Linked DNA regions of Macaca mulatta. The protein of the gene in region 2 interacts with the protein of the main gene of each other region in a biochemical or structural test. Links are inferred from orthologs where the notes say so. Each region holds a gene or a part of one and is shown on either strand. Other genes may lie near its edges. The genes, in order: NAPA and NSF.

Region 1 (15,545 bases), on a different chromosome or scaffold from region 2:
AGTGAGCTGAGATCCGGCCACTGCACTCCAGCCTGGGTGACAGCGCAAGACTCCGTCTCAAAAAAAAAAAAATAATAATAATAATAATACAACCAAGCTGAGCCCGCGAGGTCTGTAGTCTCTGTAACTGCTCAAACTCCCATCATCCACATAATCAGTAGAATAAAATCCACACACTCAGGAGTCCCACCAAGGCCGGGCGCGGTGGCTCAAGCCTGTAATCCCAGCACTTTGGGAGGCCGAGGCGGGCGGATCACAAGGTCAGGAGATTGAGACCACAGTGAAACCCCGTCTCTACTAAAAATACAAAAAAAAAAAATTAGCCGGGCGCGGTTGTGAGCGCCTGTAGTCCCAGCTACTCAGGAGGCTGAGGCAGGAGAATGGCGGGAACCCGGGAGGCGGAGCTTGCAGTGAGCCGAGATCGCGCCACTGCACTCCAGCCTGGGCAACAGCGTGAGACTCCGTCTCAAAAAAAAAAAAAAGGAGTCCCACCAAATGGATTTCAGGGTCTCTCTTCACTGACAGAACCAGTGTTGAGTTTATTTTTAAGGAAGAGAAAAGGGAGGGGTGGGTATTTTCCCATTTAAATCGTCCTCACCATCTCATCCCACACCCTGTGTCAACTGGCCCAATGCTGTACCTGGAAACTTGTCCATACCAACTCAGCTGTGTTGGGGCCCAAAGGTAATTCTGGGAGCTGGGATGTGAGCATTCCTTCCCTCTGCACTGTGGATTCAGTGTGGCCAACCTGCCCATCCCTTTGAACCACATGAAGTGCTCATTTTATCAAACCAGAGTCCCACAGCCACACTCTCTGGGATTCACTCAGCAGGTCTGGATGGGGCCTGCAATTGAGATTTTTAACCACTGGGGTTTGGGGGGCCCAGGTAATTCAGCTGATCACGTGAGTTTGGGAAGGAAAAGCTGACTGAGACTGACTATCTGGAAAGCAGCCACCAGCAATCAGGGGCCAGGCCTGGCAATGTCAGCAGGCAAATAAATGCCCCCAGGGCGGGTGGGCTGGCTGGGCCAGGGATCCTGGTCTCCTGAATCCACATCACACCAGGTAAATAATCTATTTATTCCTATCCTCTCTGTCATCTTGTCAGATGAAAGCCTACTTCCTGCCTTCTGGGGCTGTGCTGATGCTGTCCCCCACCTTCTGCTGTCCCCGGGAAGTGGCCCTCAGCAATGTGTTCTTCCCGCACTTGCCCTGCTGCACCCCATCTTCCCTCACCCACCTCACCTCAGCCGGCCCAACACACCTCGGGCCTTGTTTGGAGTGACTTCTTTTTTCTTTTTCTTTTGGAGACGGAGTTTCGCTCTTGTCGCCCAGGCTGCAGTACAGTGGCACGATCTCAGCTCACTGCAACCTCTGCCTCCCAGGTTCAAGCAATTCTCCTGCCTCAGCCTCCCAAGTAGCTGGGATTACAGATGTGTGCCATCACACCCCACTAATTTTTGTATTATTAGTAGAGACGGGGTTTCACCATGTTGGCCAGGTTGGTCTCGAACTCCTGACCTCAAGCGATCCACTCACCTTGGCCTCCCAAAGTGCTGGGATTACAGGCTTGAGCCACCGTGCCCAGCCTGGAATGACTTCTTTAGAACCCATTCCTGGCCTTGGAGAGGTAAGAAACTTTCAAAACCTTCTCTGGCTGAGAATCCTGAAGGGTCCTTTGGGGCCTGGCTGCAAAAAACCCTCAGAAGGACCTTCTCTGGAATGTTCTCTTAAAGGGACATTTTCACAGACCTTAATCACAGGTCTGCCCACCCCACAGATTCCCCAGCTCAGCCTTCCCTTCTTTTTGAGTGTGACTAAGTCCTATCCAGCTCCATGCACTCTCTGAAAAAGCTCAGTCCCTGGATGAGCAGAAATGACCCATGTCACTGAGTGGCCCACAGCAGGCAATCAACAACGAGCGGAGTCAGCCCCAGCCGGGTTTATTTCAGCTCAGAGGGACAGAGCAGACACGGGACAGACACAAAGTCTACCAGCTGCCAGGGCTGAAACTCTATGATCGCCTGCCTCCTTTTTCCCCTGCACCCCGTGGTTTTGCCCATTACCACGGCCAGGGGATGACAGGAGATCTCTGGAGTCCCATCCTCTTCTTTTAGAAATGGGAGTGAAGTCCCCAAAGGGGGAAAGTGACATGCCTAGGTTCCAGTGGAAGATCCTGAAGAAGCCATTCACATACTCATTTATTCACCTGGGGAACAGGTATCCGAGCATTTATTATGTGCCAGGAGATAACAGCAGTACATGAAAGGAAAAGTTAGCTGGGCCTCCTCTCCTGAGGGCCTGGGTGGCAGCGCATGTGACAGCTGACTGTCCCTCCCCCACTGACCTCCCCCAAGCTGCCTCTGCTTCACTCCTCCCATCCCACGGCTCTGAGCCGCTCTGGGAATAGAGGGAACTGGTTTGGGCTGCCTGATGCAGGGCTGTCTATAATTACCCGCTCAGCTTTGCTCTCTCCCCCTCCAAGGCGGAGGAAGGAGTCTCAGGTCTCCCAAACACAGCCACCAACCTCAGCGAATGCCATATGGAAGGCTAGGCGCTGCCAGGAATGCACAGACACCCGGTGGGACCTGGGCCAGGGGGTACTGCAGGGCAGAGTCTCAGCCCCCTCCTTCCTTCCTCCATCCACCAGGCACTTCCTGGCTGCCAGAAATACACCATGCCCTGACCCACCACCTGCAGCTCCCGAAGGACCTCATGAGGTAGGGTGGACAAAGGCCCCCATTTTGGGTCCTGGACTCACTCTATCTCTCTTGCCTCTCTGGAAGCCACAGGCACAGGCCTATGGCTTCCTCCTCAGACTTAAGGCCCACTGCCCCAAGTCTCCGGTCAGCACCCTCAGTGGGGAAGGTGCCCTAGGGCCTGTCACATGCCTGTGAGCCCACCTCCTGCACGGCTCTCGAGACCACGTGCCTTAATCACAGCTGGCGCATGGCGCTCCCTGGCTCCCGGGCACTCCCCCAGAAGGAGCCCACAGCTCTTCACAAGAGCCCTTTGGGTGCTGCCCTTGCTTTAAAGGGAGGAAGCTGGGGCTCAGAGAGGGTGGAGGGCTTGCCCAAGCTTACCCTGCCAGGAAGCAGCAGGGCTGTGAAAGAGGACTGGGGCCCTGGGGATCCAGTGCTGCCCTTGCCTCTCACTCAGTAATCAGGAAGGCTTCCCTCCCCATGCCCAAGAGTCCTCGGAAAAATGAGGAGGGAGGACAAGGTCCCTGCCTGCCCCCGCCCCTCCTCTAGATTAAACAAGCCAAGGAACCTTTACCGCCGAGGCTTCCCTCATCTCAAAGCAGAGGCTGCTCTCTGCTGGAGCTGCGTGGAGCATCCTCTAGGCAAAAGAGGATGAATTAAGTCAGCCCCCTACTGAGCCTGCCAGTAACAAGACAACAGGCAGAAGGAACGTCAGAAAAAGTTAAGGCTGCCTGTGGTGCAGGGTCCACCCTGGCACAGGGAGCTGGGGGCCACCAGCCCTGCTAGTCCATTGACTGCACTGGAGCTGGGAGCTGCTAGAGGTTCAGCATCCTGAAGGCACTGCCACCAGTATTACCTGGAAGTGCAAAACCACCAGCTGCCTCCCGCCACTCTGCAGTGGGCCCCGGCTGACCAAGCAGGGTATGAGTTCCTGCGGGGCGGGGCCTGGGCCCAGCTTCACTTTCCCATCTCTCCACAGTGCTGGCACAGGCCCCGGTTAACAACGGTGAAAGGATAAAGTGTCACAGCCTAACTGCCCAGCTCTGAAATCGCCACAGGACCCTCTTGTGACATGACTGTCTGGGCAAGGACAAGGGGTAGAAAGAGAATGACTTTGGGGTGGTGAGACCTGGGCTGAAGTTCATTTCAGGTACTTTGCTAAGTGTCCAACCAGGGGCTAGTTATCCCTAAGGCTTTTTTTTTTTTTTTTTTTTTTAATAAGAGATGGGGTCTTCCTGTGTTGCCCAGGCTGGTCTCGAACCCCTGGGCTCAAGCAATCCTCCCGCCTCTGCCTCCCAAAGTGCTGAGATTCCATTCTTTATCTATAAAATGGCAGTGTGGCTGGCCACAGTGGCTCACACCTATAACCCCAGAGTTTTGGGAGGCTGAAGGAGGAGGGTTGCTTGATCTCAAGAGTGTGACACCAGCCTGGGCAATACAGTGAGACCCCAACTCTACTAAAAACTAGCCAGGCATGGTGGCATATGCCTACAGTCCCAGCTACTTGGGAGGCTGGGGTGAGAGGATCACTTGAGCCCAGGAGTTGAGCCCAGGAGGTGGAGACTGCAATGAGCTACGATCATGCCACTGCCCTCCAGCCTGGGCAACAGAGCAAGATCCTGTCTCTCAAAAATGAAAAATGAAATAAAACAGAGACAATGAATCTGGCCTGGGAGGAGTCTTTGTGAGGATTAGAGATGACACACATTCAATACTTGGCACAGAGAGCAGAATGGAAGAGGTGCTCAAATGGTTGCCATTATACAAAGGAAGAGAAATACGCTCAAAGGGGTGCCTGCCACCCAGCAATAGGAATTCTAGAGAGTTGCTTGTGGTGGTAAAAATAAAATAAAATAAATGCTGACAGTAGTCAAACAGGCCTGGCCTCAGTGCCAGATCATCGCGTGCCAGCCTGCGTTTCCTCATGTGTAACTAGGGATAAGACTCCACACCTTGCAGTGCTGCTGAAGCATGAGCAATCTTGCAGGCAGCACCCCACGGCGTGCCCAGCAGAGAGCCGGTCACACCACGGGCGCTCAGTAAACAAGAGCATCCCTCTCATCAGGCCCCGCTGAGGACCGATTCCAGGCACACTTCCCTACTTCAGAATCGCAGCATGGGCTTCATCTCCACCCCAGATTCGCTAAGTGCTGCTCCTCCTTTGGCTTCCAGAGTCCTGGCCTCCCACCACCCTCCGCCTTACTGCACAATGCTCAAAATACATACAGGCCCACGGCCCTTCAAGATGGTAAGCTCAGAGCCAGGACCTCACCTGCCACACGGCACACAGCCTGGCAGGCGCTCTGTTTCTTATTTTCTTATACGAATGCCCCCCTGCACCCCAATGGGATTACATTTCACCACAGACCAAGGGCGAATGTGCTTCCTTTTCCTTAAAAGGTGTTCTCAAAGACCCTTGTCTTTCAGTAGCCCCATTCCAAAAAGGAGACAGAAATGTTTGTATGGCCAGGCAGCAAACTTCCATCCATCAGGAAAGCCAGGAATTCTCAGATTCCCCAGAAACCTTGTGTGCTCTCAGGAAAGACTCCACTCTGAGACTGGACAAGAGATGCCAAGTTTTCAGTTGTGGATCTTGGCTGCTGACAGGGCACTGTGATTCACCAGGGTGCCCACTGGAAATGGTGCCGGGGTCTCTGCACGCTCTGCAGAGGAAGGTGGTCTGGAGGGAAATCTGGAAGCTCATGCCCACACCAGTCTCAGCCAAGATCCCATGCAGGCCCTATACAGACAAGCTGGCCCTCCCATGGTCCCGCAGTTACTGCCTACAGGTAGTTCAAACAGGAACTGATTTGCCAAGATCTGATCTTGGGAATGCACTGTTTGTATACAGAACACCCTGCCACCTATTTCTCCAGCACTTCTAGCTCAACTTCCAATGACAATACCTACTAATAAAGATGACAGTGAGCCCTTAATAAACATTACCAGAGCCAGGCACCGTGCTCCCACCACTTCCCACGCATCGTCTCATTTATCTTTAGAACCACCCGAGGAAACAGTTGACTAGGATTTTCATTTCACAGATGAAGAAACTCCCTCTACACGTTTGTATCCAAGAGGAAGGAAGTTTTTATTTTGGCTGTTTTGGCGGCAGGGGAGGTGGCCAGGAGACATCAGGGATGAGGAAAAGCCCCAGGGAACAGAGCTGCCATTCAGAAGCCGCACGATCCCCAAAGGGCACAGCAGGCACTCTGGATTTACCAGGAGACATGCAGCAGGGAGGGGGAACTAGTGCGCCTGGACTCAGCCGTCCCCTTCTGCTGCTTGCTCACTGTGCTGTAGTTAGGAAGTCTCCGTCTTTTTGCTTCCAGAGCAGAAGTTTGAGCTGCACCCCCATCACCAAGGGGAGGAACAGGGATGGCTTTGAGCTTCTCCTAACTGGCTGGTGCTGTCGCCCTCAGTGGCTGCTGGTGCATCAAAGCCCCCTAGCGTCTGGCAGCCCAGAAATAATGAAGAGCAAGGGCGGCGTCTGAGCACCGAAGCGGGCGACAGCACAGACGCCCACCGCCTTGCGTCCCAGGTGAAGGCTCTCTGACTTGCCCTTTGATAGGAGCAGAGGACCCTCAATGTGGGACGCTGTCATTGCTGGGATTCCCAAAGGGGAAGGGAGAGGCACCAAGGACAAGCTGAGGCCCAACACTCCCTTCTCCAGTCCCGGCAGCTACCAAGGACCTGAAAAAAGGTGGGTTATGAAATGCTGAACACAAGCAAACCCAGATCAGAGAGGAGGAGGTGCCTGAGTGATTCCCACCCGTCAAACAGGTCCTCCTAAGCTGGCCTCTGACTGTGCTCCCAGCTCCCAGGCATGCAAGCTCCGGTCAGGCCACCCTCCCATCCTCCCTGCCCTCTGCCCTCTGCCCTCACCTCATTCACACCCCCACAGCACCAGGTCAGCTCCTCTGGGAGCTGGAAGGAACTGAGATGAACACACCGGCTCTTTTTTTCAAATACTTGGAGAAAACGGCCATGGGACCACAGTTAAGAGGGTGGCGGTTTTCCAACACACCTAGTTTGCCAACAGCCTTCCCAAATGTAGTGCCCAGAGATGGTCATGAACCTTGAGGAGAAACTACCGAGGTAGCACAGCAAAGGGGCTAAGTGAGAAGGCTCTGGAATCACACAGAACCGGGTTTGAATGCCACCTCTCCCACTTACCATGTGGCTGGGCAAGTAAGTCAACTTCTCTAAGCCCCCAAGTTTCTCTACCTCCACGGGGATTTTGTGAGGACTAAATCCATACCATCTATCAGCAGGTTGAGCCTGGCCCAGGCCTGGGTCCGAGTCAGAGCGAGCACTTAATAACCTGTATCTGCTAGTATTACCGGCAATGCAACAGCCTCCTGCCGTCACTCTCCCCCACACCAGCTGCTGCAGTCCTTTCTAGAAGGCAAATAGCAGCTCTCCAGGATGGGCCTCCCTTAGCCTCCTCGGAGCTCTTCAGTGCCTCCTCCAGGCCCAGCCCTTGCTCACCAGGCCTTCCTAGTCTGGCCTCACCTGCCGCTTCCACCTTTATGGTCTAACGTGTAACTCCCTGTGTTCCATCTTCCTAAGGCATACTCCATCATAACCCCTGCCTGGAGTGCTGCTCCCTGCCAGAGAGCACCCAGAACTCCTGTTCATCCCCCTGGGGTTGGGGCCTCTCCCCCAGGAAGCCATTTCTGATCCGTGTGGATCTCAGTTCCCTGTCTTTCCAGGCAGAACTTCCCCTCATGCTAGATCTCTGTTGCACCATCCCTGCTGCCTAGAGCACCCTCCCTGGCCCCACTCCCCAGCAAGTCCTGTGGTTCCTTGGGACCTAGCTCACTCCTCACCATGAGCTTCCCCCTGGTTCACACTGCTTCCTCTGAGCTCAGAGTCACAGGAATGATATAATCGAGCCCTTCCTTACAGTAGGTAATTCCACTTTACTAGCGTTTGCTGTGCATCCTGCCTTCCCAACCAGGTAGCAAGTGCCTTGGGGCTGACTTAGCTGCTCCCTCCAAGCACACAGTCCAACAGCCCACTAATCCCTGGGCCAAAGGGACCAGACACCCAGAGCCACCTAGGAAAACTATCACCAAAAATCCAGCTCGTGGCCCCACCCCCAAACACAGCACCTGAACTTCTCCCCTTGTGAAGAAAAAGAAAACACACACACACCCTCTGTCTCCTCGCAGCCTCTAAAATAAAATATTTTTCACCTAATCAATACAGTCCATCAGCCCCAGATGTTTCTCCACACCAGGCAATTCACCATCATGTTCTTCAAGTTCTTTTGCTAAACATTATCCAACCTCAAACAAGGGGCGTGGCCCAGAGCCCTTTTCCTGTTCCTTCCTCTCTTGGAAAGATCCCTCCCCTTTGTGTCTTACCAGCTTCTGCCAGGCTCCTACCCCAGTCTCTTCCCATCCCCAGGCCCTCCTCCCAAACCCCCTTCTCCAGCCTTCTGCAGACACTCCCAGTCCCACCAACTTCCCCAGGCTCTGCTTCTGAGGGGCCACCACAGACCGTTCTCTCTACAGGTCCACTAGTCCTTTCCCAGTCCTCCCCTCAGTTTCCACAGCCTCCCCTTGACCTTTTCGGGTCCCCCCATCAGCACAGATCCCACCCCCCCACACACCACCACCCCCTGCCAAACTCCCTTTACTTCCTCTGCCCAGAGCCTCATGCTCCTCTCAACCCTACTAAGTCTTCGTGGCTCCCTTTACTGCTCCCTTTCAGCTCCTCTTAGCACACCCATGTTTCTGTCTCTCCCTCTCCTGACCCCTCCCAGACCTCTCCTCTCGGGCGCCCACCTTGAACCCCATCAGCTCTCTGCACACTCCAAACCTGTTTCCTTCTGGGAAGTCACATTAACAATAGCTAACACTCTCAGAGATGTAACTCCACGCCAGGCTCAATTCTAACACTCACAGCAAATGGGAGGCAGGTTAGATTTGTGATCTCCTTTAACAGGGAGACTAAACCATTTACCCAAAGTCATGAAGTAAGTGGCAGAGCCACATTTCAAACCTGGGCTCTTAATACTTTTAAGCCACTAAAATTATCACAGGATGGTGGTGTCAGCTTTTAGGAGCTACCGTGAGTTTTATGCCATGTCACATGCGTTAGTTCTGTCTCCCAAGCCTTTTCCCATCCCTCTTCTCAGCATGTTCCTGTCATCCCCATTACTCGAGGATCACACAGCAGGAATTTGATCCCCAGTTTTGATTCTCTCAGTCCCCGTCTCTCCCTGTTATCCCTCCATCTCCTTGGCCAAGCCACCACCACGCGTTCCCCCACCCAGGAGTCTCCGGCCTCAACCCAGGCCTCCTCAGGTTTTTTTCTTTCCCTTTTTTTTTTTTTTTTTTGAAACGGAGTCCCACTCAGTTGCCAGGCTGTAGTGCAGTGCAGAGGCGTGATCTCGGCTCACTGCAACCTCCGCCTCCTGGGTTCAAGTGATTCTCCTGCCCCAGCCTCCCGAGTAGCTGGGATTACAGGCACCCGCCACCAGGCCCAGCTAATTTTTGTATTTTTAGTAGAGACGGGGTTTCACCATGTTGGTCAGGCTGGTCTCGAACTCCCGGCCTCAGATGATCTACTCACCTCGGCCTCCCAAAGGGCTGAGACCGCCACAGTCTTGACTCCATCATCCCGGTTCCTCCGCTCAGCTGTCCTTAAACTAGTCACTGCTAACCAGGGCCGTACTCACCCCAGGCACCCCCCACACTTCAGACGCAGCTCACTGCTCCTAGGATCATCTAAGCCCTGAGCCCCTCCAAAGGTGTCAGCCCCCTTCAGCCTTCACCCTCACTGCCCAGGGCCCACGCAAATCCACTGCCCCGGGGGATGAAAAGGTCAGTCCCTCGGGCAGGCGTCCTCAGCCCCAGGCCCCATCACTGCCGCCCGAGAGCCTTCACATTCCCCTAGAGCTCTGAAAAGCCTCCGGACCTGGCTTATCTCGCGGACTCCCTCCCTGCCCCCAAGCCGGTCCCCTCCACGGCTTCAGGACGTATTCCCTCGGTTCAGGTTCTCCCCCTCCCGCTGGCCTGTCTTCGGCCTGGGTCCCCTTCCTCGCCTCAAGACAGGGTCGCCTCTGTCCGTGTGTCCTCAGCCCAAATCCCTTCCGCCATGTCAGACCGTCTCTCCTCAAACCGTGTTGCCCCGGCCCAGGCTCTTGGCCCTCAGCCTGTGTAGCCTCTGCCGCTTCAGGCCAAGTCACCTCATTCCAGGTTCCTCTCCGTCCCCTCGGCCCGAGCTCTGCGTGCCCTAACCCGCCACCTCCGACCGTGACTCCTTCGTCCTCTCAGCCTAGGTCCCGGCCGACCCCTCAGCCCGGTTCTCACCCAAAGAGGCCAGAGAAGAAGGACTGCGAGTTCTTCACTTTGCGCTCCGCCTCGGCCAACAGCGCCATCGCCTCCGCTTCTTTCCCGGAATTGTCCATGGCGGCCACAAAAGGACTCAGCAAAGCGCCCGACACTGGCCCTGGGAAGACTCAGCCGCGGCCGGGCCGCGGAACACAGATCGGGAGAAGTCGCCCGGCTGCGTTGACGTCGCACCGGCGCGCGGCGCCTGCGGCCCGGAATCACGTGACTCGCGCTGGCCAACCAGAGGCCTCGTAGCGCGGCGCCCGCTCCGCCGGCCACGCCCCCACCAGCCGCCGCAAGCCGCCCGTGACTCGGGACCCCCCAATCGGCGTCCCGAGACCTCAACGCATGCGCACACACAGGACAACGACGCCCCACTTTCTCCTCAGCGCTCTGTACCTCACCTCCCACGTGACCCTGCGGAAGGCAATGGCAATACTCACCGCCGAGGCCCCGCCCCACGGTGTTGCCGCTGGATGCTCCTCCACCAATCAGCAGCAGCCCTCGGCTCGCGTTGTTAGGGGGGCCACCCCGCGCCCTCCCTGAAGTACTCCGGCAGAGTCAGCTGACCGCGGACACTCACGTGACAACTCGGGGCCCAAGCCCGGGTTTGACAGTTCTGCGCAGAGCTTAGTCCCGCCCCACGGCTGGTCTCGCCCGTTTCTTCACTTGGAAAAGCGTTTGTGGGAAAAGGAAACCGTTCTGCTTTTTCTTGCTCCCTCTACCGGCCAGTACTGGAACTGCTTTGGGGAGACCGGTGAAGTAGTTGAGAGACTGGAAACAAAAACTTAAGAGGTTCTCTAACTCTGGTTTCATAAAAAATAGATGAAGAGGGCCGGGCGTGGTGGCTCACGCCTGTAATCCCAGCACTTTGGGAGGCCGAGGCGGGCGGCTCACCTGAGGTCATGAGTTTGAGACCAGCCCGGCCAACATGGCGAAACCCCGCTCTACTAAAATACAAATATTAGCCGGGTGTGGTGGCTCACGCCCGTAATCCCAGCTACTCGGGAGTCTGAGGGAGGAGAATCGCTTGAACCGAGGAGGTGGAGGTTGCAGTGGGCCGAGATCGTGCCACTGCACTTCAGCCTGGGTGACAGAGTGAGACTTAGGAAAAAAAAAAAAGCTGAAGACAGCGTGTTAAAAAATTCAGATTCGAAGATGGGCGCGGTGTCTGGTGCCTGTAATCCCAGCTACTCGGGAGGCGGAGGCGGGAGGATCGCTTGGGCCCAGGAGTTTGAGTCCGGTTCAAGTCCCGCCTTGGGCAGCATAGCAAGACTCTGTCTCCAAAAAAAAAAAAAGTTAGGCCGGGCGCGGTGGCTCAAGCCTGTAATCCCAGCACTTTGGGAGGCCGAGGCGGGTGGATCACGAGGTCAGGAGATTGAGACTATCCTGGCTAACATGGTGAAACCCCGTCTCTACTAAAAATACAAAAAACTAGCCGGGCGTGGTGGCGGGCGCCTGTAGTCTCAGCTACTTGGGAGGCTGAGGCAGGAGAATGGCGTGAACCCGGGAGGCGGAGCTTGCAGTGAGCCGAGATCACGCCACTGCACTCCAGCCTGGGAGACACAGCGAGACTCCGTCTCAAAAAAAAAAAAAAAAAAAAAAAAAGTTCAGATTCAAACACACCTCCTGCTGCCCCAGAAAATTGAGTAGTTGGTTTTTGAGACAGGTCTCACTCTTTGGGTTGTTGGTTTTGGAGACAGGGTCTCACTCTGTCGCCCAGGCTGGAGTGCGGCAGCACAATCATAGCTCACCGCAGTATCACTTTGTAGTGCCAGAGAGGAAGGAAGTATTCCACACGTGTGCTCACACACAAAATTAGGGGGTATGCCAGGGTGCCAACTGAAAGAGCTCCCAATGGCCAAAGCTGGAACAATTTGAGCAGCAAAATAAAGTAGTATTGCATTATAATCCCAAATATAAAGTATCCATGAGCCTGTGGTCATAAAGATGAATAGAGAAAAAGGGGGGAGAATAGACAAATAGTTTGTGCAGAAGAATTCCAAATAATCTGTGTAGATACTCTGCTCTCAAGAAGGTGAAGGATACCTCCCCATTCTGTAAGTATGGACTGTGCATAGTGACATCCTTTCAAAGAGGAGGGTGCAGGAAAGGGGAGAGAAAAACTAAATTTACAGTGGAGAAACCAGACTTTGACATCCAGGTTGTTGGGTTAACCTCAACATTGATAAGTCATGTGATTAAAATGGCTCTTTACTTCTGGGATCTTTCAATCTAATCATGAAAAAAACACTAGACAAATTCCCATTGAACCACATCCTCCAAAACACTTGCCTAGTACTCCTCAAAACTGTTGGTGGGCGCAGTGTGTCACCTGTAGTCCCAGTACTTTGGGAGGCCAAGGCAGGAGGATCACTTGAGGCCAGGAGTTCGAGACCAGCCTGTCCAACATGGCGAAACCCTGTCTCTACTGAAAATACAAAAAACTTGGCTGGGTGTGGTGGTACATGCCTGTAATCACAGCTACTTGGGAGGCTGAGGCAGGAGGATCACTTGTACCCGGGAGGCGGAGGTTGCAGTGAGCTGAGATCACCTCATTGCACTCCAGCCTGGGCAACAAGAGGGAGACTCAGTCTCAAACAAGTAACACTGTCAAGTCATCAAAACAAGGAAAGTCTGAGAATCCGTCACAGCCCAGGATACATGGATGCTAAATGTAATGTCTTACCTTGGGTGGGATCCTGGGACAGAAGGGCATTAGGTTAAAAAAAACCAAGGAAATCGGCCGGGCGCAGTGGCTCATGCCTGTAATCCCACTTTGAGAGGCTGAGGCGGGTGGATCACCTGAGGTCAGGAGTTCGTGAGCTGCCTGGCTTTCGAGAGCAGCCTGGCTAACATGGCAAAACCCCATCTCTACTAAAAATACAAACATTAGCTGGGCATGGTGGCGGGCACCTATAGTCCCAGCTACTCGGGAGGCTGAAGCAGAATTGCTTGAACCCGGGAGGCGGAGGTTGTGGTGAGCCAAGATTGTGCCACTGTGCTACAGCCTGGGCAATAGAGTGAGACTCCATCTCAAAACAAAAAACACTAAGGAAAGCTACATAAACTATGAAGTTTAGTTAATAATATTGTGCCATATTAGTTTATTCATGGTAATAAATGTACCATTCTAATATCAGATGTTAATCATAGGGGAAACGGGTATGTGGGATTTTTTTTTGCTGTCATTGCAATTTTTCTACAAATCTAAAACTATCCTAAAAATCTTCTTTAAATAAAACAGGTTCGAAGGCCATACCCACAATGGTTCCAATTCTGAGTCTGTGGTGGGTCAGAGGAATCTGCGTTTTTAAAAAACAGAACCCCATAAAATTAAGATGCAGCCAGACCCGGTAGCTCATGCCTGTAATCCCAACACTCTGGGAGACCAAGGTGGGAGGACTGCTTGAGCCTAGGAGTTAAGGACCAACCTAGGCAACAAAGCAAGACCCTATCTCTACAAAATTAAAAAAATTTTAAATTACTCCTTGGGAGGCTGAGGTGGGAGTATTGTTTGACCCCAGGAGTTTGAGGCTGCAGTGGGCTATGATGGTGCCACTGCACTCCAACCTGGGCAACAGAGTGAGACCCTGTCTCCTCTCAAAAAAAAAGTAAAATTAGGATGCAGATAATCCAGGGACCACAGTTTGAGAAACCTCTGTTATCTAGGGGGTTGGCTGAGCAGAGCAAGGCATAAGTCTTCCCCCAACTCTCTTCATACATGAATAGACTTGCCTGGACCACCCACTTGTGGTTGCCACTGTGTCCTGACCACAGAGCAGGTGGGGGTGAGCCTGGATTACCACAAGCAGTTTTGGTTCCATGTCTGTCAAAGCAGCAGCGCTATGTAAAAGCTTCTGTTTAAGCTGTTCCTTTTCAGGGTAATTTGTCATGCAGCAACAGATAATATACCCCTCAGCCTTTTCAACCAGGGAGTATTTTTCCATTTCCAGAGTTCATTGGATTTATTTAGGATGGGATCCAAACAATATTAGCAATCACATGAGAGCTTGTTAACTAGTAGCTGTTCATTGCTTATGGTGCACCTTTCCAAATGCTTAATTTACATTTTATTTTTATTTATTTATTTTGACATGGAGTCTCGCTCTGTTGCCCAGGCTGCAGTGCAGTGGCACGATCTCTGCTCACTGCAACCTCCACCTCTGGATTCAAGCAATTCTTGTGCCTTAGCCACCCAAGTAGCTGGGATTACAGGCATGCACCACCATGCCTGGCTAATGTTCGTATTTTATATTTTTAGTAGAGATGGGGTTTCACCATGTTGCCCATGCTGATCTCAAGCTCCTGACCTCAAGTGATCCGCCCACCTCGGACTTCCAAAGTGTGGAATTACAGGCGTGAGCCACCACACCTGGCCATAATTTACATTTTATTTAACTGATAGGTTGCAGGGGTTGAGGAGGGGCAATTTTCATCCCATTTTACAGATTGAGAAAACTGAGGCTCCCACAGGGAAAGTGATTCGCCCTAGTTTACAAGGAGGTAAGAGGAGCCAGGATGGATGAGGTTCATCTGACGTCTGAACCCCTTCCCTTAACTGCAGTGTTCCAACTGCTTCAAACTCAGCGTCCACCTCTGCTCCCCTTCCCTCCCAATCTTTAAGCCTTAGCTGATAGGTGGGCCCTCTGTGAAACCTCCTGACACTGCCATCTACTTTCCCAGCCCCTCAGAACACAGCACACCCTACCATAGACACGATCACACCCCGATGCAATCAATCCTCTGCAGTCAATTCCCCATCTGAGCTAATGGCATCGACTACAGCTGCTCAGGCTCAAACGTGCCCTGCCAACTCGATCTGTCCTTTCCTTGACCACCTCCCACTGACGTGAGTCACTGACAACTCTGTTGCCCAGGCTGGAGTGCAGTGGCACAATCTTGGCCCACTACAACCTCCACCCCTCAAGTTCAAGTGATTCTCCTGCCTCAGCCTCCTGAGTAACTGGGACTACAGGTGTCCAACATCATGCCTGGCTAATTTTTTTGTATTTTTAGTAGAGATGGAGTTTCATCATGTTGGCCAGGCTGGTCTCAAACTCCTGACTTCAAGTGATCCACCTACCTTGGCCTCCCAAAGTGCTGGAATTACAGGTGTGAGCCACTGTGGAGTCTACCTTTCTTTTCTTTCTGTCTTTCTGACGGAGTCTTGCTCTACCAGGCTGAAATGCAGTGACACAATCTCAGTTCACTGCAACCTCCGTCTCCCGGGTTCAAGCGATTTTCCTACCTCAGCCTCCCAAGTCGCTGGGATTACAGTCACGTGGCACCACACCCAGCTAATTTTTGTATTTTTAGGAGAGACGGGGTTTCATCATGTTGGCTACTATGGTCTTGATCTCTTGACCTCATGATCCGCCTGCCTTGGCCTCCCAAAGTGCTGCGATTACTGGCAAGAGCCACTGCACCTGGCCATGGAGCTGCATCTTGAGTAGTCTAGCCTAACTGTGGTCATTTCCCTTCTCACTAACAGGG
Region 2 (15,752 bases):
CTACCTTCCGTATTCTCTTAACTCTTTTATTACTTTTCATTTTCTTGCCTCTATACTGCAATTTTTTCAGATCCACTTTACTAAATCTTTCTTTAGCTATGTCTAATCTGTTATTAAATTTGTACACTGGTCATTTTTGTATACTTGCTCCTTATTCCTATTTAAATTTTTTTTTCTGTAAGCATATTAAATACATGTATTTATAATCTGTGTCTGCTAATTGCAATATGTGAAGTCTTTGCAGGTTCTGATTCTGCTCTTCATTGTTTCTGCTTGCTCTCATTCATTGCATCTTATTTCTTTCTGCATTTTGTGAATGTGAGATCGTATTTCTTACAGCTTTATGTTTAGGAATTTTCTAAATCCTAAGATCAAGATGGGTTCTCCCAAGAAGCTTTGTATTTGCTGCTTTTTAGACATTCTTAGGCATTTTAAGGCATCGTCACTCTTGTACCACTTTTATATTTAATTACTGGCTTAAGATTTTCATACCATCCAGGTAATATAAAATCAGGATTCAAACCTGCATGAAGGTCAGCTTGTGGGTAAAACTTCTCAGGGAATTTCTGTACCCTTCCCATCACCACAAAAGTTTGAGGCAGGAAATTTTCCTTTCTGATCCTTAGACAAGGTAAGTTTATTACTAGTTCTCATTTATTATGATGTATAGCCCCTTGGGGTACCATCTTTACCGGTAGAGGTAGGACGTTCTACCAGAAAACTACCAACTTTTATATTCTGTTCTCTGGGCTTCTTGAGGCACAAGCACAAGTTAACTAGGTTTTCCAAGTAAAGCCATTTGCAAATCATGTCCTCAAGGCAAAAGTACTTGGCTTATATTTCTGGGTTTTCACCTTCACATAGTTTTTGGCCTGATTATTCCTTCCTTTTCAGCCAGCTATCTCCATGCATGTAAGGTTTTTACTTAAAAAATATTTTATCTGCCAGGCACAGCTGCTCACACCTGTAATCCCAGCACTTTGGGAGGCCCAGGTGGAAGAACTGCTCGAGCCCAGGAGTTAGACCAGTCTGGGCAACATGGCAAGACCCCATCTCCACAAAAAATAAAAAAATTTGCTGGACATGGTGGTGTGCACCCGTGGCCCCAGCTACTCGGGAGACTGAGGTGGGAGGATTGCTTGAGTCCAACAGGTTGAGGTTGCAGTCAGCCATGTTCACACTACTGCGCTCTGGTCTGTGTGACAGAGCAAGACCCTGTCCCCCCTCCAAAAAAAATTTATCTAGAATTTTAAATTGTTTATTTGGGAAGGTCAGTCAGGGTACCTAATTAACCATACTGCAGGAAAATAGCTATGCTTTCTTAAAAGTTTGAAAATTGGATATAGATGAAGGTATTAATGGGAAGAAGACGATAACCTTGAAACCTATCAATAACAAGGTTGAGTATACATTTGGAAAGAAATCTGGAAAAAATACCTTCAACAATTTATAAGGAACTAAATTGGAGAGCTCAAAATACTCAGTGAATGCTTCTCAACTTTAACATACATCAGAATCACCTGGAGAATTTATTGATAGAGAATGCTAAGCCCTACCCCAGGGTTTCTAAATTAGTCAACCTGAAGTGGGAACTGAGAAATTGCTTTTCTAACAAGTTCTCAGATAATGCTAATTTGCTGGTCTGCAGAACCCACCATCACAATCACTGTACTAACAGAAATAAACTTCATAAAACAGGCACACTGACAGGTTCATTTCACTACCTTCTACAAAAGAAGAGAAGAAACGTGTGGAAATGAGATTTCAATAACACTCTTGGTCCATCTCATCATTTAACTTATACTTAAGTTAATTTGGTGATTGATAAGTAGATTTATCGAAAGATTTGTGAAAAAGGACTGCAGTGCAGCAGCTGTTTAAAGCTAGATCTATAATACTAATTATTTAAATAACACAATAAACAACACTATTTAGAGTATTCAATAGCTTGGCAGAGAATATCAAAATTCAAACTACAGACATTGTCAGAAGTGACAATTTACTAAGATGTTCAGAAACAAATGTCTTGTTCAATCATTCAGGAATCATAATATCCCCATACCAGGCTCTATTCTCAGCAATGGGAACTGTCTGCTATCATCCCACAATATTGTATCAATATTATTCTCTAGGAGAAAAATAGGCAGGATAATCAAATTTAAAAATTTGACACAGAGGTTCATTGGAAGACTCAGAATTAGTGATAATTGCTAGTTTCATTGCTTGTCAAACCAACTACAAAAATGTTTATCAGCACACAACACTGAAAACACTTTACAACTTTTTAAAAAACCCACCAATGCAGCCCTAAAAGTCTTTATTATGTGGTGATTTTAAAAAGAAATGAATCTTGCATTTCAAAAATGACTAACTTATTTCTTACCTGAAATTAATAATTTTCCCATTTCTTCCTCCACCAAAGATCTATATGGCTAGTGCAAATCTATCAGCACTTTAGCAGTTCTTTCTGAATTTAGCAAAAGACCAAAATACCCTGCATTACTCATAAACAGCTGATGCTAATTCATTTGGTTTCAAATCTACAAGGCACAAGTTGTGAGAAATTAACACTTTCAGCTTAAAGTCAAAGAAAAGGAGATCAGGTTCCTAAAGTTATTGAGCTGAATTTTATTGAAGTGCTCTTTGTGGCTGCCCTAATAAAATATAAGAGGAAAAATGTAGGTCAAAAATCAATACTGGTAGGTTAAAAGTGTCTTTAAACAAACAAACAAACAAACAGTCTCGCTCTGTTGCCCAGGCTGGAGTGCAGTGGCATGATTTCAACTCACTGCAACCTCCACCTCTTGGGTTCAAGCTGATTCTCGTGCCTCAGCCTCCTGAGTAGCTGAGACTACAGGCATGTGCCACCGTGCCCACTAATTTTTGTATTTTTAGTGGAGATGGGGTTTTGCTATGTTGTCCAGGCTGGCCTTGAACTCCTGGCTTCAAGTGATCCACCCGCCTCAGTCTCCCAAAGTGCTGGGATTACAGGCGTGTGCCACCGCGCCTGGTTGTAATGTTCTATTTTTTAAAAGATAAATATCTGAAGCAGGTATCATAATATGTTAACATTTCTTAAACCTCAGTGGTAATCACATGGATATACATTATTCACTGTACTTTTTGTCATGATTGAAATCTCTTAAAAGTGTGTATGAATTATACTCATACAAAAATACTTAGGGCTTCCAGAAATGGTTACATCTACACAAGAAATATTTCGTTTTCACTATAAAAAAAAAGTTGGAAATTAGAAGTTTAAATCACTAGGAAACTGAAGTCAGTAGGTAGCTCTCAGAGCAATATTAAGGGTATCAGTACTAAAATATGAAAGAGTATCTCACTGAGCCATTTTCACTTAAAATACTACAGTCAGAGGACAGATGCTTTAAAAAGCATTACAGCAAGTTCTTAGTGTACTGCCCAATGCAGGTATTTGCAAGGGTTCACTCTTCCGCCACTTCCAGAATTTTCAATGGTTAATATACTTTACCTTATACTTCTGCACCTTAACTTAAATACTTGAAAAAAGAATCATCCTATACATAAATTTCTCTGGGTTTATCTAATGCTGCTTTAAAGAACTGCTTTGTTTCCTAAAATTCATTGCATTTGAAGATACTTTTGAAAATATCCACTAAAGCGATATACAAAACCAGTAACTACTGCATATAAGACTGCAGAAAGCTGATATACTTTGGAGAGTCAAACTTTCATTTAGGAAATGGATTACCAAACACTTTATAGTATTTGTTTTGATTTGTGGTACTGCACATGAGCTATCCCCAATTTACAGCCTGAGTTCCAAAGTTTCATCTGAAAGTTTATTTGGTAACTATGTCATTCACCCACAAAATGTTACAAATGACTAGGTTTCTAAACAAAGGCTACAAAAGCTTCTGATATTGATACTGATACTGAATATTCTGGCCTGCCCTAGTCAAAACACTGGATTCAATAAATTTTACCTCTAACATCTTTCCATACCCCTTTCAACTCCTAAGAAAGTTCTCTCTCGTTGGTTCCTATTTCACATTATCTTACTCCCATCTCTACAAAACAGATTACCTCGACTGGGTTTAAGGACTTATGAAGAAAGAGATCCACTGGTTTTATTTGCATTAAAGTATGTATATTTTCAGAAAGGGACTGCTGAATCTCCAGTAAGTGAGATTTCTGGCAATTTTAAAAGATAAGCATACAAAACAGTTCAGGCACTGTGGAAAACTTTTCTCTTTTTCTTTTCCAGTAGTGGGAAGGTAGTGGTATCTTCTGATGACCTATAAATGTACACTGAGTAACATCACACATTTTATTCTTCAGCCAGTTTCCCAGATATACTATATACGGTGCTTCATCGGTCAGAGAAAGGAGAGAGCAAGACATACAAGTTACTAGTGCTATCAATAGCAACAGTGATATAACAAAAAAAAACCTCAATTACATAGTGAATATAAATCCCACTTACAAGATGATGTCAGAATACCAAAATTAACCAAATCAAAAGTGCAAGAATTCAAAATAAACTGTCCCCCACAAAAAGGAAATATAAAATCCATTAAGAGTATCCCAACAGCCGGGCACAGTGCCTCACGCCTGTAATCCCAGCACTGTGGGAGGTCGAGGCAGGCAAATCACTTGAGGTCAGAAGTTCGAGACCAGCCTGGCCAACATAGCGAAACCCCGTCTCTACTAAAAACAAAAAAATTAGCCGGGTGTGGTAGCGCTGGCCTGTAATCTCAGCTACTAGGGACGCTAAGGCAGGAGAATTGCTTGAACCCAGTGGGTGGAGGTTGCAGCGAGCCGAGATATCACGCCACTGCACTACAGCCTGGGCAACAGAGCAAGACTCCGTCTCAAAAAAATTTAAAAAAAAGAGTATTGCAACAACAACAACAACAACAAAAATCTGATAAAATTCAACACCCCTTCATGATTAAAAAAACTCTCAACAAATTAGGCATAGAAGGAATACATCTCAAAATAATAAAGTCTATATATAACAAACCCAGAGCTAATGCATACTGAATGAGGAAAGGTGAAATCTTTCTTCTAAAAGCTGGAATGAGGCAGGGATGCCCATTTTCACCACTCCTATTCACCACAGTACTGGAAATCCTAGCCAGAACAATCAGACAAGAGAAAGAAATGAAAGGCATCCAAACTGGACAAGAGCAAGTCAAATTGTGTCTTTGCTGATTATATATCTGTAGGTTTAGAAAACCTTTAAATCAGTAGCATTTCTATACACCAATAATGATCTAGCCAAGAAAGAAATTAAGAAGGCAATCCCATTTACAATAACTACCAAAAACCTAGGAATACATTTAACTAAGGAAGTGAAAGATCTCTACAAGGAAAACTACAAAACACTAATGAAAGAAAATAAAAAAAATCCTATGCTTGTGGAAAGAATTAATATCATTAAAATGACCATATTGCCAAAGCAATCTACAGATTCAATGAAATCCCTATCAAAATACCAATGTCATTCATATGGGACCAAAAAAATCACTTGAACCTGGGAGGCAGAGGTTGCAGTGAGCCAAGATCACGCCACTGCACTCCAGCCTTGGGCGATGGAGCGAGACTCCATCTCAAAAAAAAAAAAAAAAAAAATCCAGTGATAGGAGGAATAAATTCAATGTTTGAAAGCTGAGTAGATGACTATACTTAATATATTGGACTCATGTACCCTGACTTGATCACTACACATTATACACATGTAAAAAATTTTTCATGTACTCCATAAATATGCACAAATAAAAGTATTGCAACAAGGTGAACTATATTTGCTAAACATCACTCAGTAATTACTAGAAAATAAAGGCTATCAGAAGAAATGATAGACAATCAGATGGGCCAAAGTTGTTCAGATTTTCCAAAAGGTAGAAGATAGTTTCTGAACATTATTATGTCCAAAAAGTTCTAGGTGAGGTAAACTTAGTCTTCATTACATTCTTGCAACTAAGTTGGTGAACTAGGTAACAGTACCAGGCTGATCTGAGTTCAAATCCTGACCCTGCTTCTTGCTGGCTATGTGAACTTGGCAAGTTACTAAATCTCTCTCTCTCTTTCTCTCTGCAAAAAACAAAGATAATACTACCTACTTTGCAGGGTTGTTTTGTTGGGATTAAATGAGATATATCTGTACTTAAGCAACAGTACCCAAGTGTATTAATGGGTATCAGTCTAGAGACAGGTCACTGGCAGCATATGCTCAAGGTTTATTTCTGACCCTGTCTTATTCTATCCTTTACCAATAACTCAAATGTAGAAACAGAAGTCACGATTATTAAACCTACAGAGCTAACCAAACTGAAAGAGACAGCTATTATGTTTCCTAACACGAGAAAAACTAAGAATCCAGATTACCTCAACAAATAGCAGACAGGCAATGACCTAAAAAAATGAATTGTAAAAGGATAAGGTCTTGAATTAGGTTCAGTAAAACGGCTCCAAACCTAGAATGGAGCTAGGGAGCTGATTTTAAAAGAACATGAGTTTTCATTAAGTACAAGCTCAGTTATGAGCCAAGAACGTGATTTACTGTAGAAAAAACGCTAATACAATTTTATCTGGCATGAATAATGGTAGTGTCCATCTCAAGAGAATAATAGCTCAAGTACATTCTTCTCTGATCACTGTGTTCCACTCTGGGCACATTTTAGAAGAAAGGTTGACAAAACAGTAACATTAGGTTACTTCCAGAGGAAGGTAGTCTAAATGATTAAGCGTTTGGAATATGAAATATGCTAGGAATTGGGGGATGTTTAACTTGTAAAATAGAAAATCTGAGGAGATATGTAACCTGTATTCAAGTAAACGAATAGCTCGAGTAGCTATTACATGGAAAATTGTGTTTACACCTTCCATATAGCTTTAAACAGCAGAAATAGTAACTACGTGTAAAAGTTACATGGAACTCCAGATAACAAAGACGTAACATAGCTGTATGACATTACTGGCAAGCTTTAGGGTAATACACCATCTATCACCAGAGTGTTCAGAGATTGATTCATTTTCAACAAAAATGTATTGAGTACCTAAGTCCCAGAAGGTACACAAAGTGCAGTTGCTAATGACTAAATAACTTATATGTTCTCTGCTTTTCACTGAGGTGAAGTAGTAGAAGCAAATAATAACATACACTCAAAGTAACAACAACAAAAAAAATCTCTAAGGAGAGGAATACAGTTCTTCAAGGGTATATAACAAAGGATCCTTACTTACAATGTGGGGTCAGAATAGGCCTTCCTTGAGTAGCTAAATGATGTCTGAGTAGGAGGTAAATGGTCGTGGCAAAGAACGTTACAAAGAAAGGAAACACCACTTGCAAAGACCTTGCGGTAAAAGAAACTACAGGCTGAAGGAATTGAAAGGCTCATTTACCATATAACCTGAGGACAGAGAGTTAAGAAAGAGAGAGAGTGGAAAGAAGCAGGAGCAGAACCACAAAGAGTCTTGAAGGCCTCATTAAGGATTTGGTTTTCTCTAAAAAGTAATGGGATGCTGCTGAGGAGGGGTTTAAGTAGTAATGGGCATGGGAAGGAACAATCAATGTCAGTGTCCAGAATGAACCGGAGGTGGGCCATACGCTCTAAGAAGACTACTTGGGAGGCCGGGCACGGTGGCTCAGGCCTGTAATCCCAGCACTCTGGGAGGCCGAGGCAGGTGGATCACCTGAGGTCAGGAGTTTGAGACCAGTCTGGCCAACATGGTAAAACCCCATCTCTACTAAAAACACAAAAATTAGCCGGGTGTCATGGCGGGCACCTGTAATCCCAGTTACTCAGGAGGCTGAGGTAGGAAAATGGCTTGAACCTGGGAGACGGAAGTTGCAGTGAGCCGAGATCGCGCCATTGCACTCCACGCTGGGTGACAAGAGCGAAACTCCGTCCCAAAAATAAAACCAAAAAAACAACAAAACAAAACAAAACAAAACAAAAAAAACTACTTGGAAGCTTCCTGCAGTAGTCCAGACCAGAAATGGTGGTAGTCTGGGAAAACGAGGTAAAAATGAAGATGTGGAAAGGTGAACAGACAGGAGATTTTTGGGTTAAAATGACAGAACCCATGTGACCAATCCAGCTAGTCCAGTGGGTGATTTGGATCTAGTTTAAAGCAATCATTCTCCCAAACCAGAGTCTTTAGACCCTAATTAAACACCTTTATGGGGGGCAGGAGCAGAACTGACAAATTTTACCAAATTTTACCTTTGTATAGGGCAGAGGACATGGATAGGGCAGAGGAGAGATATCAAGGGTTACCCACCCTCTCCCTCCCCCAGATTCCCAGCCTATATAACTGGGTGGATGACGGTATCATTCAGTGAGATATTCCTATCTCACTGAATAGGTACAGACAGTCCCTGACTTACAATGGTTTCACTTAACATTTTTCAACTTTACAATAGTGCAAAGGTGAGAGGCATTCAACAGAAACTGTACTTTGAGGACCTACACAACCATTCTGTTTTTCACTATCAGCACAGCAATAAATGACATGAGGTATTCAACATTTTATAATATAGGTTTATGTTAGATGATTTTGCCCTACTGTAGGCTAATGTAAGTGTTCTGGGGATGTGTAAGGAAGGTAGGCTAGGCTAAGCTATGATATTCGGTAGATGGGGTGTATTAAATGCATTTTCAACTTCTGATACTTTCAGCTTACAATGGGTTTATCAGAAGGTAACTCCATCGTTAAGTTGAGGAGCATCTACACAAGTTAGGTGGGCTAAGATCCTAGGTTCGGAATTGAAAAAGCTGAGTTTCAGGGGCCTTGATTTTAATAAGCTGTTGGACGTATTAACCTGAAACTTAAAGGGCAAGTCTGGACTGGGGGTAAAATATTGAGAATCACTGCCATATAGACAGTTGTAGCTATGGGCTTAGAAGAGATTGCCTGAGCAGAAATACCAGCAATGAATAACAAAGTAGAGGAGAGTGAGTCCGCAAAAGAGAGGTCTGAGTCAAACCAGGAGCTAGGCATCCAAGAACACATGTAAAGAGTGCTTTCCATCGAGGAGGCCATGGTCAACAACGTCAAAAGCTGCTGAGACATCAAATAAGGATTGAAAAGTTCAATTAAGTTGAGGGACAGGTTTCAGTGGGATGATGGGACAGAAATCAGACTGCAGTAGGTTGAGAGGTGAGTAGGTGGTAAGCAAATGGAAGACAATAAATATAGACAACTCTATCAAATTTCCTGCTGTAAAGTGGGAAGGGAAAAGGTGACAGCTGTGGGGGTGGGGGAAGGGTTTGTTTTAAGATAAAGAAGCTTGATTAAGAAGGAGTAGATGAATATACAGATAGGGTCTGAAGTATTGGTAGAAGGACTAGCCTTAAAAGGAGAGACCACGGGGAAAAGGAAGAGAAAGAAGCCAAACTAAATGACCTTTAAGATCCCTTCTGACTCTAGAATCTCATGACCTACAAGTCCCTTTAGATAGGGCTTTTGCATATATGCATAAATCTATGCAAACTTATTCAAAAATTCTGGTACAAAGAGATCAGTCAAGCACATCTTTCGCCCCCAGTGACGCAGTTAATGTCCTCAGGTTTATAACCAGTGTAATCTCTGGGCAGGACTCATCCCTTTAGAGCTTTTAGCTCAAGGCAGACTGCAATACAGCACTCAAGCAGCTCTATCTCTCCTCGCCAAATCCATCCTACCCAGCAACCCTAAAGCCTAAAGGAGGAAGTAAATTTAAAACCCTGAAACTACAGCATATCCTGCTGCATTGAAAGCGACTGTCATCCATAAAAACAAAACATGACAGCCCAAATCCATCCTCACTCCAAGCTAAAGCAAATTCCCGCCTGACCTGACAGTTGACAGGTCCCCCAGATGGCAGGGCTCTAACACTAAAAGTCATTGGCACCCCCTCCTCTTTCCCAACGACCTTTAATTTGTGAAGAGCCAGACATGGGTTCCTGATGATCCTTCCTACACCGCTCGCCCCGAATGCAGTAGACGTGCTCCCGGCACTTACTCCGGCGCCCCCTAATAAGCCCTCGCAAGGGGGTGCGGAAAGACCCCCAGAGCCAGTCAGAAGGGGCTTCGGCGACCGCGACCCTGCGGCTATGTGGAGGACAAGGGAAACAAGCCCCAAGGAATGGGAGAGGACGACCTGAGGCGCAGCAGACGCGGGTAACGAGGGGGTCATCTCCCCTCGAGGGGGGTGGAGTTGTTGAGGAGGGCTAATCCTCTGCCACCGCTCCCCTGCTACCCTCGAGTCCCGCTCTGGCCTCGCGCCCCATTGCTCGGATTCACTCCCACTCCCCTGGGGCCTCCTGGACCCCGGAGTGCCCGCGAGCCCGGCGCCCCTGCCTCGAGCCTGGGCTCCCAGACCGGCACTCACCCGGCCCGCCATCTTCGCAGACACGTCCGGCTAGGCGGCTGCAGCTCTGCGTTCGGCAAAGCCCGCCCCCGCCGTGCGCGCGCCCCCGCCGCCCGCCCTCGCGCAGGCGTGCAGCCGCGGTGAGGACGCGCGCGTCCCCGGAGTCCTCGCTCCACAGGGCGCGCGCGCGGGGCGGGCAGAGCGGCGGCGCCATTTTGGCTGGAGCTGCTAGGCGGTGGCAGGTGACCGTGTTTCCAGCGTGCGCGTCCGTCCGCGGCTCGCTCGAGGGCTGTTCCTGCGAGTCTCGTGTCCCCTGGCCGTTCGCGCCGGAATTTGTCGCAAGGGCTTTAATGCTTCGGATCACTTATCCCTTTGCCAGCAGTTGTTCGCCCTCGAATGTCCATTTTGCTCTGTGCTTCCAGACTCTCTGTTTTTTGGTTTTTTTTTTTAGACGGAGTCTCGCTGTGTCGCCCAGGCTGGAGTGCAGTGGCGCCATCTCGGCTCACTGCAAGCTCCGCCTCCCGGGTTCACGCCATTCTCCTGCCTCAGCCTCCCAAGTAGCTGGGACCACAGGGGCCCGCCACCACGCCTGGCTAATTTTTTGTATTTTTTAGTGGAGACGGGGTTTCACCGTGTTAGCCAGGATGGTCTCGATTTCCTGACCTCGTGATCCGCCCGCCTTGGCCTCCCCACGTGCTGGGATTACAGGCGTGAGCCACCGCACCTGGCCTCCAGACTCTCTTAAACATGGCCTTGCGGTTGAGGAAACCCGGCGCGTTCCCTGGCTTCCCCCAGAAAATATCAGCTCCGAGGAGTTGGTTCTGAGTTCAAATTCTCCATGAATTTTCTCACTTTTCTTTGTAGGCGTACTTGTTTTCCTAGTTGCTGGAATTGTCATCGTTGGCAGTTTTATTTATGTGTAGCCTGGAAAACTCAGTATTTTCTTCAGATTTGAAAGCGAATTGTGATTATTTTTATTAAATATTTGTCTTTAATAAAGGCAACTTGTATCTTCGACAACCTTTTCATTCCCCAGCGTTGTTTCATCTTAGACACTATACATGGTAGAATCTGAATAAAATATAACCTAAATTTCAGCCTTGTTGAACCTCGATGTTTTCACCATACCATTCCTCCACTGGAATCTCAGAATATCTAACTTCAAGCAGCCTGGGAGGAGACAGATTCTGCCGAATGGATTCCCTTTTGCTTTTATTTACCCCACTATCATCTCTCTCTTCATATTTGCGCAAGACAATAGGGAATGATAGGATTTGTTCTCTTTCATTTCTCACAGTTAATTAGAATAAATCGGGTTTTTTTTCCCCCCAGCATGAGAAAAGAAGGGAAATAACTAGAAGAGCTGAGCATGCATAGTGATTTAAATTTGAGAACTAATAAAATCAGACAGTGACCTGAAGATGAACTAGGGACAGAAGAAAAAGTTAACGCCAGCCAGGCGGGGTGGCTCATGCCTGTAATCCAAGCACTTTGGGAGGCCAAGGCGGGCGGATCACCTAAGGTCAGGAGTTCCAGACCAGCCTGGCCAATATGGTGAAACCCCATCTCTACTAAAAATACAGAAATTAGCCGGGTGTGGTGGCGGGTGCCTGTAATCCCAGCTACTTAGGAGGCTGAGGTGGGAGAATCGCTTGAACCCGGGAGGCGGAGGTTGCAGTAAGCCGAGACTGTGCCACTGCACTCCATGCTGGGCAACAGAGCAAGACCCTGTGTCAAAAAAAAAAAAAAATTTCACGTCAATTTCATGAAGTCTCACACTGAACCTGAGGACCAAGTTGCTTCCTTGACCAAATCAGATGTTAGCTAAATCATGGGTGGGTCAGAGAGGTTATCAGGAAATACAGGAAACTAGTTGAGTTCTGATCTACTAACTTGCAGAAGTTACTAACGTACAAAAACAAATATTAGAATGGCTTGGGAAGTCCAGAGGGTTAGGTTCTCTTTGTCCCTATCTGCCCGTCACCTGTGTACCTTCATATCCCTGAGCCCAGTTTCCTTATTTGTTTTTTTTGTTTGTTTGTTTTTGAGATGCAATCTCACTCTGTTACCCAGGCTGGAGTGCAATGGCGTGAGCTCAGCTCACTGCAAACTCCACCTCCCAGGTTCCAGTGATTCTCCTGTCTTAGCCTCCCAAGTCGCTGGTATGACAGATGCCCACCACCACGCCCAGCTAATTTTTGTATTTTTAGTAGAGACAGGGTTTTGCCATGTTGTCCAGGCTGGTCTCGAACTCTTGACCTCAGGTGATCCACCTGCCTTGTCCTCCCAAACTGCTGGGATTACAGAGGTGAGCCACCACGCCTGGCCTAGTTTCCATCCTTTTTTTTTTTTTTTTTTTTTCTTTTTCTTTTGGCACCTTGAATTTGAACCTAGAAATCAAAGAGATTTTAATAAATAATTACCAGATCGAGAAAATGACATTGGCTCTCGGTCCAATAATCTGACATTATTTTCAAGGTTGGAAAATAATGCAAACGTGTTTCTCCATATCACTGGTTAATTTGTCTTGTTTTACTAGGTAAGCTAGACTGCAAGTACAAATGTCTTCAATTTCTCCAACAAGGAGGAATATTTATCATCTTGGAAGGATATGCCTGCTGGAAAATTTCCAGTGTATCAGCTAACGTGCATATCTACCCATTATAAGAGGCCCTCTGTGCCCTCTCAAAGCCCTCTGTGCCTTCTCACAAGTATTAAAAATTAAATAGAATCATTTGCACAGCCCTGCAGGGCCTGCCAAATAAATTGCAGGCAAACATAGCTCCTGTCCTTAAGGTCCTTCGCATCCAGCAGGAGGGGAAGGATTGTAAGACATTGCTCCAGATACTCCACATGTCTCTGCATCCTGTTTGTGCCTTGCTCTGACATTCAAGGTCATCTTAGAAATAGAGGGGTGCTGATTCTGCATCACCCTCTGAGTAATCCTTGCAGCGATAGTCGATAAGCAACACATGTTTTTGCTGCCCCAGATTCACTCTGCCCTTTTCTGGTAACAGCTCTTCCAGTTCATGTGGCCTTGGAAGGATTGTCAGACCAGGAACCCTGTCTCCCCCTGGCCCAGGAGTGAGTACAGAACCCAAGTTCAATCAATCAGATGCTCTCTCTCCCCTAAGTAATTGTAATCTTGAGTACCCTGAGGAATAATGACAGAAATAGCTAGAGCTCATTTATTGCAATGATGACACCCTGAAGAGACCATTTGCTAGTTTTCTAGATCTCTAGAGTTCACCTGCTTTCTGTCGTCTGCAAAATCTGACTGTCCCCCTTTGTCTTGATTTCTGTGAGTTAGTCACTTTCTCTTCCTAAAAAAATATCTCCCTTAGCTCTTCATCGATCCCTGAAATTCTTTTAATATGCTTTTCTTTTACAGTGAGAAAGTTAGTAAGACGGTTAACAGAATGATTAATTTAAATTCTAAAGTGTAATGACTAACATCATTTTTTAAGGAAGGAAGGGCTTTGAGTGGGAGGTAGGAGGTGAGACTAGGGATAGGGTCAGAAAGGAAAGGTACCTCAAAGGTCGGGGGAGAAGATGAAGACATGATAAAATGAAAATAGCAGGACCCAGAATGAAAAAGAGTGGGGCATAGGGGCAAGGGCAGGGTTTGACCAAAATCAGTTAGCCCTTGTGATCCAGTGTGATGGTTAATTTTGTATCAACTTGGCTTGGCCATGTTGCCCAGATACTTGATCAAATATTATTCTGGATGTTTCTGTGAGGGTGTTTTTGGATGAGATTTACATTTAAATCTGTAGACTCTGAGTAAAGAACGTTGCCCTCCATAATGTAGGTGGGTCTCATCCAATCACTTGAAAGCCTGAATAGACAAAAAGCCAAACTCATCCAGAACAAGAAGGAATTCTCTAGCAGGTTACCTGTGAACTAGAACTGTAACTCTTCCCTGGGCCTCCAGCATGCCAGCTTCTCCCATCAGATTTTGGGTTCCCCAAGTCTCCACGATCACACACGAGTCAATTCCTCGAACTAAATTTCTTCCTATATGTATATACATTCTGTTAGTTCTGTTTCTCTGGAGAACCCTGATGAATATGGTCAGTTTCCTGTCAATTACAGGGATGAGATTCCTGTCTTTTACAAAGTGACCCTTAATATCACCTGTTGCTCCCTGATAGGTAACCAACATCTATAGGTGGAGGCCTGATTCAAAGACTTGAAAACAGTGCACTCATATAATTTTATGTTCAAATTATATCCCATTAAACATCACTTAATATGTGCTCCATCAGAATGGGCTGAACAACATTTTGGTTATATAGACGTTTGTTTGTAATGGTTGTGGTAACAGAATTTAACTGGGGGAAAAATAAATATCTTCTGTGATTTGTGGAGTGAGGGCAATATGAAACATAAAAGTGAACAGATTCACTGTAATTCACTTTATTTAACAAAGCAATCTATTTGGTGTTTTCATATTAACCAAAGGAAAACTACCTTTAGTCTGTGGAAACTGTAGGGTCAAACAAGTGGTGCTGGGTACAGAGTTTTTAGTCACTGCAGAGTTGTTTCAAAGGTCTTCCAGCAGGATTGTATGTAGGTGTTTCAGGGAACAGACCTGTTTGGTGAATTCACCACTGCATTGTAACTGTCAGAAGGCATCCTGCAGAGTGTGTGTGTGTGTGTGTGTGTGTGTGAGAGAGAGAGAGAGAGAGAGACAGAGAGAGATGAAGACCTGAACTTCCCCTCTTGCAGAAGGTGTCACTGTGAAGCACACAAAGGCGGTCTTCAGAGCCCCTTTTATTCCCTTCCTGCTGCACCCCCTCCCCTCTTTCTCAAGTTCTTTCAGTATTAGTAACCTAATGTATTACCCTTCCCAGGAGTAGTGGCAATTTAGGAGAATACTGACAGGACAGCAGTCAGTATTCTCCTAACTAACCTAAGAAAACAAACCTCAAAAGGCAACACTTCAGAGACTGACACTGTATGGGGAGCCATCTGTGTATAGAAAGCCTTTTCTTGCCCCTCCAATTGTAACTCACAGGTCAGCCACACATGCCATGCAAGCCTAGGCTTTCTGGGAGCCCCATGGACACTTGATTTTACAGCCCTGTCACAGCCAGTTTTAGGATGATGGAGTTGCCATCTGTTTGTTTTCTGTCAGAGAAACCTGTTTTCTAAAATGATGGATAAAGCTAGAGAACAGAGCAAAATGGAGAAAGGACATGGAATTTTAAAATGAAAGGAAGACTGGCTGATGCAATGCAGTATTCTAGCTGCAATCAGTTGCGGGGTGGGGTGGGGTGTTTGTTTTAAATGAATATGTCTTTTCTCTTTGCAGGATCAAGGACAAACACCTATAGTCACAAAAATCAATTCATTCTAGAAAGCCTGAGTGGGCAGGACAGATGATAGAATCCTCCGTGGAAAG

Evidence for each region.
Region 1: the proteins of NSF (region 2) and NAPA form a complex in vitro, tested with the Homo sapiens proteins (2 studies listed by BioGRID). The link is inferred for Macaca mulatta from reciprocal best matches to the Homo sapiens genes NSF and NAPA.

What each region holds. Positions count from the first base shown.
Region 1 is NC_133424.1:60,002,691-60,018,235, forward strand, and holds the start of NAPA (alpha-soluble NSF attachment protein), read right to left. Parts: upstream 10,255-15,545; 5' UTR 10,127-10,254; coding exon 10,029-10,126; intron 2,889-10,028; exon of another isoform or gene 484-2,888; intron 184-483; exon of another isoform or gene 98-183; intron 1-97. UniProt on the Homo sapiens protein: Required for vesicular transport between the endoplasmic reticulum and the Golgi apparatus. Together with GNA12 promotes CDH5 localization to plasma membrane.
Region 2 is NC_133421.1:70,495,458-70,511,209, forward strand, and holds the start of NSF (vesicle-fusing ATPase), read right to left. Parts: upstream 10,421-15,752; 5' UTR 10,379-10,420; coding exon 10,367-10,378; intron 1-10,366.